Drosophila melanogaster: one gene and its partners. The protein of the gene in region 1 interacts with the protein of each later gene in a pairwise test. Each region holds a gene or a part of one and is shown in the gene's direction. Other genes may lie near its edges. The genes, in order: CG5011, CG4250 and RanBP3.

Region 1 (3,178 bases):
GAAAGCCCAAAAATATGCTATATACAATCACGAACAAATTTATCTGCACTCTATGCAACACGCTGAGCAGCAGCAGTGGTAACATTCCATGTCTGGATACAGATCCTGTTCCTCAACCTGTTCCTGATCCTGTTCCTGCTCCTGGTCGTACATCCTCTTCCGCCTGGCTGACCGATACAGTCGCCGGATGAGAGCTCCATATGGTTTCCGCGCCATCAGGTGAGTGGTTGTCTTGTGTATTTCGTAGACGCAATTCGTTTCGAGACACACAAAAGGCTCCTCCACCTGCAGGATAGTTTCCGATCTGAGATTGGGTACTGGCATTGGTAGCAGACTCCTCTGTTTCAAGATATTGATCTTGCTCTTCTTGACCACCCTCCTTTTCTTGGCAGGATTGGGTGCTGTAATGGCACCTTGGATCTCCGCCTCGAAGGATTCCTGGCGCCTGGAGGCCTTGCTCTTCAAGGCCGAAACCGTTTTGTATCGGTTCTGGATATCGGTAATGTTTCTCAAGGTCTGCTTAAAAGCAACCTCGACTTGCTCGACTTCCTGCAGCGTATTCCACAGATTCTTTTCCATAATTTGTTCACGAGAAAATTTTATACAATAAAAAATTTGAATACAAGAATGCACACTCCTCCCACTTCAAAAGATCATACGAATATACAAATCCTGTTCGATTGAAAAATCAGGGAAGCTAGATGTGTGATTTTCTCGTTGCGTTGTCATAGGGAAATTCCGATATGACCACCAAGTACTCACCTTATCGCAAAACAGGCTGATAAAATGTTTTAATGGGAAAACCAATGCCTCCAGCAGTCTTTCGTCACTATATATAGCGTGGAAATCGGGGTAATACTTTAGTTCAGAACGGAAATCGCTTTGGAAACATGCCACCACCACCGCACCAGCCCCACCAACCGCACCCACCGAAGGGTCCTGCGCATCCTGGGGATCACCAACCAGGACCGCATCCCCCTCACCACGGAGATCCGAAGCCCCATCACGGACATCACTAGGCCCATGGACAAGGACTATAAATAAGATTCAATTTTATACAGAACAAAACAAGATGGATACTTTTTAGGGAACTTAGTTTCTAATAGAAAGTCTTAAAAACTCTTCAAACCAAAGAAATAAAAGCCTGTACAAAATACATAGCTCTACTCTTTTCTATATCTTCAATGTTTATGATCTTGAATTGGTGATACTGCTTAATGCATTCTAAGCTTCCATTAATTTGAACAAAGCATACATATGATTTGAAGATCTAAATGCTTTTTAAATTATAATACACGTCCTAAGTGCAACGTACTAAGCTTAAGAATTTGTTGCTGATTGTTGCTGATTGTTGCTTACAAAAATAAAATATTATAACATCTCCATATTGTTGTACTTATGAACTACATGCAAAGTCGTCATTAACTTATTCTTTAAGTCACATATAGACATATCAGTAAACAATTCGCTTGTTTGTTATTACTAATTTCGAATGTCATACATTTGTTTTTATTGAGCGAAGTGTTGTTGTGGGAAAACCCGAAACTTACTTATCAACCGAACTGGGCTCGTCTTATCTGAAATTTAGATAAGATTACAACGTATTCGAATCATTTTCCTATAAATGGTTTGACAGGATAGGCTTTAGCTTAGTACTCAACTAAAGTCAGAAAAGTCAAGATGCCACCTCCACCGCACCACGACCACCACCATCATCATGGGCCACCACACCATGGACCTCCCCACCATGGGCCACCGCACCATGGTCCTCCACACCACGGGCCACCGCATCACGGGCCACCACACCACGGACCGCCGCACCATGGACCTCCGCACCACGACCACCATCATCATGGACCACCACACCACGGTCCTCCAATGCATCCTCGATGAGAACTATAATACAATATAAGCCGAATTTAACGTTATAAACTGATATGGAAAAACTTAATCGTTAACTGTGATTAAGCCACAAACTAACATTAAAATATCTTCACTAACTTCTAGTTAGTTTCACCAAGAGCAAAATGTTTTTATTTTAGAAATTGTTTAATTTTATAACACCATTATAAAGATACTGATTCTAATAAGCAATTAGAAGAATATTGAAGCAAGAATTGATTAAGTATGATTAAGTATCAAAAAGCCAGCAGATAAGGTAGACAATTATATATAAAAGAAAGTCCCTCTCCACTAGAATGCAGATAAGATTACAGCCTACTGAAACTATGTTACTTTTGTATAAAAGGTCTGGCAGGAGTGAGCCAGTTTAGTGTACAACAGAAGCCCGCCAAGCAAAGATGCCTCCTCCACCACCGCACCACCACCACAACCCGCCGCCTCATGGGCCACCGCCCCACGGACCACCGCACCATGGACCTCCGCACCATGAACCACAGCCCCCGTTCCACACGCCAGTGCATCCGATTTACCACGAACCTCCTCACGGAAACAGCTCCGGCTACAATCCTCCGCCGCCGCATGGTCCGTATCCATATGGTCCAGGATACGTGGCCCCAGGACCTCCAATGCATCCGCGATAAGAACTGAACTGTAATCTAGATCGGTTAATATAGTGTGATATCAACAAATGTACATTTGTGTGTGATTAAAAAATATGCTGCTTTTAAATATATAAACTAACTTTAGTTAGTCACGCCTATGTGTGATTCAAGTTTTATTACTTGTAGCTTCTATGCCAACAAACAATCCCATTTCGAGTATGATGATATATGCGCCTAATAAGATAAGGACGGTTTTTTGGAATTCCCATAGGACCGTCATAAAGATAATCCATTGAAAAAGTCGTCATTCTTTAGGTGCGTTATGATAGCTTATTTTCGGGTACTATCAAATTCTTGAGGTAACACGTCATTACTAATATTTCACTAGGAAAACAATCAATCAATCAGTCAATCAATCACTGGATTCTTTATTAATACGTGGGCTTATCGTATTAGTCGAATGTCATGAATTCTTAACTGAGCATATCTTTGATTTATTGGCTCTTTTCCATTCCATTTGTTCAAGAATAATATTTTTGTTTTTATTTTGAACGCTGAACTATTAGTAATCATGCATATAAACCTGTTGTAAACCTTATCAATGAGTTACTTCAACTCAACGCTAGATAAAGCTGTGCAATCTTATCGATAGGAAATACGCATTTGCTTACATT
Region 2 (3,068 bases), on another chromosome or scaffold:
TGACCGCACAACACTTTCGCAGCCCAAACAGTGCGCATTAACTTTTTGTCTCTCTGTGAAATCGGAATTCTACTTTATTTATTTTGACAACGTACCCACCCATACAGATTGTAAGTATGACGGGAGAGATATATTATGCAAGCCTAGGATTGGGTCAAACATGAGCAACGGACTATTATAGTCAGGTCTAATTGGGTAATATCTGGTTGTTTAGATGTTTACCGCTGCTTTGCCGCTCCCCAAAAAATTTACTTTTGCTTGGGGGAGAACTCAGCAAAGACATACAGGACGACAGTAGGATTTCGGGGGGAATGTTAATCACTGGCGACGGACACACCCGCTGTTAAATAAGGATACTGTGCTGGGTGGTTTGCGCTAGTGAGAACATACATAAATAGATTGTGTTGATTTTGGATAGGACCAGACCGAGCAAGCAAGTTGCACCAAACGACGAGCAAAGATGATGGATGGAATCGGGGTTGAGCGGGGCTCAGACACACGCGGTTGTGCGATGACGGCGTCGGCACGAAGCTTGCCACATGGCACAAGAGATTCCGTGGCCCACGAGGATGACCTCACGGCGGCAGGAGGGATTGCGCAGCACCGTGGTGCCATCGACGGGAGATAAGGCGGATTACAGCTTGTTTTGCATGGCGGGTGTGCAATTAAAATCCCCATTAACCAGCCAATTTAATGCTCATGCACCAGCGGCACGCGACGTATTCAAGTTTTCAAGGTCTGCGCTGCAATCAATATGAGAGTTATTAGAGTTTCCTGTGCTTTCTTTCTGCAGCTCCGCCATCGAAATGTCCACTTCCGTTGGCCCGGAACCGTGCATCGTGGTCTGCCCCAGTTGCCGTCAACAGGTTACCACTCGTGTGGAGCCGAAAGCCACCACCAAGACTCACCTGATAGCATTGATTATGTGCCTTACCTTGTAAGCCATGTTCGATATTGATTTCTTAACATTCTGGGTGCATTCTCATTGAGTGATCTCTTTCGTGCAGCCTTTGGCCCTGCTTGCTGCCTGTACTGCACTCAATGCGCCCGGAACTCCGACCACCACTGTCCATCTTGCAACGCCTACATTGGCACCTACGAGCGCTGAGCAACTTCCGCCGGAAGTTGTTTTTTTTTTTTTGTCGTGGACTGCAGCCAGCAGCCGTGCCGAAATGCAGCCCCCATTACTTATCCCCACTTGATCTATTTTTAACTCTCTCACATTTATTACTACGCACTATTTTGATAACAAAACAAATCATTGTAGTGCCGGCATATGTATTCTTCAGCACACCAATAAAAGGGTTCAAGGAAGAAACGAGTGGATTTTACCTGGGGGTTGATTTGTTTTAGAGACAACGCAATTCTTGAGCAGAGTTGAGTATTTCTTATGTTTTCAATAAATATGCAAATTGTTGTTATATACGTGCTAATAGCATAGCTGGAAGGACCATTTCGGAAGGGTAAAAGCTACTGGTTTGTTTACCTGACAATGGAATACCCTACTAAGTGCTAACATTTCTGTTTTATTGGTAAGTTTTGATATTAATTAATTCATCATGGCTGAGCAATTTCTTACTAAAGCTTTTCATCCTGCAAAAAAAAAAGAACACTTACTCATGTAAAAGCCCTTATTCTGATAGCCACATAATATTTAACGGAAATCGCTTAGCAAGCCATCCGACATAGTAGGGCTATATAGAATTCGCATCGCGCCGCAACTCGAAAGTTCGCCGAGCAATGTTGGAGGAGCTCTCTGCGGTTTCAGTCGCTGTCGGCAATTCAAACGCGTAGCACACATCGGTCGGAATAATTAGAATGGAGAAGAACTTTCAATACGAGAATATGCAGCCTCAGGCTCCGGGTTTCCAGGCACCGCCCAGTTATGATAGCGCACCGCAGCAGGTCTATCCTCAGCTCCATCAGGGACAGGGAGTGATATTGCAGGGTGAGAATACAGAGAACTATGAATCAATCGGAAATAATGGTCAATTCTTCTGTGCAATTCAAACATAAAATATAATATCGCATATTATACGAAATCCAATCGTGCCTCTTTCAGCTCCACCCAATGTCCTGGGCCAATGTCCATCCGTTGCCACTTGTCCGAGCTGCGGCGTCCGCAGGGAGACGAAGGTGGAGTTCGAGCCCAGCACCAAGACCCACCTGTTGGCCCTACTCATCTGCATGCTGGGGTAAGTGCAGCCCGTTTGCTCCACCTGCCCGCAGGACTAATGGCCATTTTCAGGGGCATTTGCTGCTGCTGCATTCCGTACTGCACCGACTCCTGCCAGTCGGCCAAACACACCTGCACCAGCTGTGGAGCCTACGTGGGCACCTACAAGAACTAGAAGTGCTATCTCAACACCAAATATTACAGGGATAGATCCCACTTTGTATCTCCACACCTATTGATGGGATCAGATTTGGCACGAATATTCACGAAATACAACTCTGGTTCAAATCAATTGAATATATGTATGTAATTTTCGCATTGGTTTACTTTTCAAAATAAATTTCTAATCACACAAATTGTTGGCGATATATGAATGTTAACACTTTCGTATATAATATTAATAAATCCCGGAAATTTCTGAGGCGGGAATATATTATAGATATTTTTATCTGAGGTTCTGCATCCTACGCCCTTTATATAACTTCATTCACATTGTTGATCTAACAATCGCTGCCTCTTCTTGAAACTGGATATATATATATATATATATGTATATTGAACAACTTATGTCAATGAACAGTGGAAAAAGGTTTGTAATTTAATACCTAGATTTTATATTTCCCCTCTTCGAATTAAACACTAAACAAAGGAATAGGGAAGAAACAAGGTAATTTGATCGCTTATCCGTTTATTTGATTACAACTTTTTCTGCAATAATACCAATAAAAAAGATGGGCAACAATATTTAGTTAATTTCATATAATTTAAAAAATGTTGGCAACTAGTATCCAGATTAATACCTGAAATGATGCAAATTCGATGTCCAATTTTATTAACATGTTTATATAAGTAAGTTATTATTCAAGCAAGCGGATTTCATATTTGCCGAGAT
Region 3 (3,762 bases), on another chromosome or scaffold:
AGCCGTTGCGATGTTATTTTAAAGGCGATCTTCAAGGGGCAACTCAGATCGAAACTGAAAAATTTTACATTTCCATGGTTTATTTTAATGGGAGCTGACAATGTGAAGTTAAACTGCAAATTTTTAGTCTAAGCGTAGTAGTTAAGATTAGCCTTCTTCTTCGCCTGCACTTCCATGATGGCGTCCATGAAGTCTTCGTGCGTAACCGAATTGGCGGAGCGACGCAGTGCGATCATACCAGCTTCCACACAGACGGCTTTGCACTGGGCGCCGTTGAAGTCATCCGTGGATCGGGACAATTCCTCGAAATTCACATCATTGCTAACGTTCATTTTACGCGAGTGAATCTGCATAATACGGGCACGGGCTTCCTCGTTGGGATGTGGGAACTCGATCTTACGATCCAGACGACCAGAGCGCAGCAGAGCAGGATCCAGAATGTCTACGCGATTGGTGGCCGCAATCACCTTAATATCTGCAGTGGAACTGAAGCCATCGAGCTGATTAAGAAGCTCCAACATAGTTCGCTGGACCTCACGGTCACCGGCCTTCTCCGAATCGAAACGCTTGGTGCCAATGGCGTCCAACTCGTCAATGAAGATAATGGCAGGCGCCTTCTCCTTGGCCAAGGCGAAGGCATCGCGCACCAGCTTGGCACCATCACCGATGAACATTTGCACCAACTGGGGACCTGCCAGCTTGAGGAAGGTGGACTTTGTCTGAGCGGCGCAGGCACGGGCCAGCAATGTTTTGCCAGTTCCAGGGGGGCCGTACAAAAGGACACCTGTAAATGGCAAGGATTAATATGGTTGTGTGACATTTGTTCGAGTGAGATACCCACCTTTGGGTGGGTGAATGCCAAGGTTTTTGAACTTCTCCTTGTGCGTCATGGGCAGCACCACTGCCTCGATGAGCTCCTGTATCTGCTTGTCCAAACCTCCAATGTCGGAGTACTGCTCTGTAGGTCGCTCGTCCACTTCCATGGCTTTTACGCGGGCATCATACTCTGCCGGCAGGGTTTCCAGGATCAAATAGGAGTCTTTGTTGACTCCGACCAGATCACCTGGCTTCAGTTTCTCGGCATCAACCAGGCCGATGACGGGCAGGAAATACGCCTGTCGAGTGGATGTTTTGATGACGGCGCACTTGCCCTTTCGCTGGTTGTCCAGAACGGTGACGGAGCCGTCGTCCTCCTCCTCCTGTGGATCCACATCCAGCAGCTCTATTACATTGGACACCAGGTAGGGCAGTGTCTTGTTGACCTAATGGGGAAGTACTTAACAAATGAGGCTATTTGGCAGGGTGGCGTTTCATTGTCATCCCTACCTTGATCTTTTCGGTGTTGTCCTTGATCTTCTCATTTTGCGCCTGAATCTCGTGCGTTATGCGTATCACTTCGCTCTTCATGATCTTGATCTCGTTGTCCATCAGGCGAGTCCTGCTCACAATTTCATCGGTGGACATACGCATCACCTCCTCGCCCAGGGACTCCTCCCCGTCCTCCCAGATTGACTTATCCTCCAGAGTCTGAGCCATGTCTAATACGATTGTTGATTAGCCGTTGCTGAATGTAATTCTTTGTTAAAATGCTATTATTGCCGATCTTTTTGGGCAAACACTCTGTCGATGACTTGTAAATTTCTTGTTTTTCAGCGGCAAGTAAGCAACACTGAAAAAGTCAGTGTTGACAACAGAGCGCCATCGCCGGCGCTTATCGATAGTGACAGCGATAACACAGCGATAACAATACGGCAGGCTTTACACAGAACGCTCTATTCTGTAAAAGATTTGGCAATTTATATTTTAAAATTGCAAGTAGACTAGTTTGCAATGTCTGAAAATAATGGTAAGCGTAGCAAAACAAGCTGTAATGCTTGCTATAACTTAAAGTTGCCAAATATCGCGAATCTTGTGCCCTTGAAGAGTTCGCAACAAACTGACAAACGAGTCTTGTTTTTTCCCCCTTGTTTCCAGAAGCGTCAGTCGAAACTAACTGTTTCCGAGGTGGCTTCACCTTGAAGGCTTCTCGCCTGGGCGGTGCTGTCCTGCGCCCAGCAGTCTTGGCAAACAGCAGCGGCTCCAACAATAGTTCCACATCCCCAAGTGCAGGTGAAGACAGCGCCCTGCTGAATAATCCGTTTCTGCGCGAGTCCAAGGACGACGACGATGACGAGGAGGTGGTGGCCACCGGATCTGCGGCAGCCGAGTCCACTGGCGACAAGGAGGACGACGATGTCGACGAGCGGCCGGATCCGCTGACCAAGCTGCGTAGCAATGGCATTGAGCGCTCCAGCATGTTTGCAGCAGCCAAGAACAACATGCCAAATGTTCAGTCCAGCGGGTTCGTCTTCGGCCAGAATGTGCATGAACGTGTGGTGGCCCCCAATGCTGAACAGGTCACCGCTGAGCCGGATGCAGATACGGCAGCCAGCTCGGTATCAGCCCAGGAGGCTGCCTCCTCCTCCACCGCTGCTACGTCGTCCTCGGCGCCATTGCTCTTCTCAAGCGTCATTCAGAACGCTGCCCAGACCACAGAGACCAGCGAGGCCGCTGCCTCCTCATCCATTTGCAGCAGCAGCAGCAACAACAAGGAGTCCGCCGAGGCCAAGAGCCTGACGGATGTGGCCCGGGAGTATGAGGAGAGCCGCGCTCAGAAACGCAAATACGAGGAGGTCGAGACCTTCACCGGCGAGGAGGACGAGATCAACATTATCGACGTGAGCTGCAAGCTATTCGCCTTTCTTAACAGCAACTGGGAGGAGCGTGGTCGCGGCAGTCTGCGCTTAAACGACGCCAAGGACTTAAGGGGCGACTCGCGCGTGGTGTTCCGCACTTCTGGCAATCTGCGCCTGCTTCTCAACACCAAAGTCTGGGCCGCCATGGTGGCGGAGCGAGCCAGCCAAAAGTCCCTACGACTAACGGCCATCGACAACTCTGGCGTTGTCAAGATCTTCCTGGCCATGGGCCGACCGGCGGACATTGCCCAGCTACACAAGGCGCTCAGCGAACGGATTGCCAAGCGCAAGGTCTCACATCCCGAGGAGTGTTCCGTAGAGGAAGCGAAAAACGGCGTCGCCTCTGAGGCAGCGGCTAGCTTGCAACCGGAGTCGACGACTCACGACGACGAGGATGAGGATGCTGCTCCCGGACCGTCTGGTGCCATTTCAGCAGAGGCAGACAGCTACGGCCCGAGTCCCAAGAAGGTGATCGTCCAGCCCGATAGCAGCGCCGATGTCCCTGTGCCGCCCGTTGAGGAGGGCGACGAGGATGCTGAGGCCGAGGCCAAGGAGTCAACCGATCAGAATTAACCGCCGCTCGCTCTTGTTCTTTTTATACGATTCATACATGGAGAAATAAAACACTCACAACAAACACTAATTAATAAAGCGCGCCGTGAATTATTATAAATTAATTATAATAATTTATTAATAATTATTATTATTAAAAATAAAATAAATGAAGTGCTGATTTGTAAACCCGTGAGCAGCGTCGACAAAAGACATTTATCCATTACGCTTTGTGTTTATAATTTTTTGTTAAAAATGAAAACCGAAATTAAGATATCGATATCGATCGTACACGCTCTAATTAAAAGTTTTAATTTAATCACTATACAAACCCTATGTACTACTTTTCGCTTAGGAAATAATTTTTACAAGTTCAGCGCTTGCACTAGTCCTGGTCATAGCTCCACTGACTGGCATCTGGTGTGGATTCCAGCGGATCATCACTCAGTATTCAGTTATGTATTGGTAGAAAAAA

The links.
Region 2: the proteins of CG5011 (region 1) and CG4250 interact in a two-hybrid assay, tested with the Drosophila melanogaster proteins (one large-scale study listed by BioGRID).
Region 3: the proteins of CG5011 (region 1) and RanBP3 interact in a two-hybrid assay, tested with the Drosophila melanogaster proteins (one large-scale study listed by BioGRID).

Annotation. Positions count from the first base shown.
Region 1 is NT_033779.5:1,198,560-1,201,737, forward strand, and holds CG5011 (uncharacterized protein), read left to right. Parts: upstream 1-2,111; 5' UTR 2,112-2,300; coding exon 2,301-2,543; 3' UTR 2,544-2,661; downstream 2,662-3,178. Other genes in the region: CG5139 (uncharacterized protein), read right to left, coding at 40-579; CG43348 (uncharacterized protein), read left to right, coding at 891-1,019; CG43349 (uncharacterized protein), read left to right, coding at 1,681-1,893.
Region 2 is NT_033778.4:22,661,927-22,664,994, forward strand, and holds CG4250 (uncharacterized protein), read left to right. Parts: upstream 1-1,765; 5' UTR 1,766-1,818; coding exon 1,819-1,987; intron 1,988-2,062; coding exon 2,063-2,195; intron 2,196-2,248; coding exon 2,249-2,351; 3' UTR 2,352-2,548; downstream 2,549-3,068.
Region 3 is NT_033777.3:23,750,788-23,754,549, reverse strand, and holds RanBP3 (Ran binding protein 3), read left to right. Parts: upstream 1-1,715; 5' UTR 1,716-1,830; coding exon 1,831-1,846; intron 1,847-1,974; coding exon 1,975-3,308; 3' UTR 3,309-3,613; downstream 3,614-3,762. Other genes in the region: Rpt5 (regulatory particle triple-A ATPase 5), read right to left, coding at 129-784, 842-1,262, 1,327-1,536.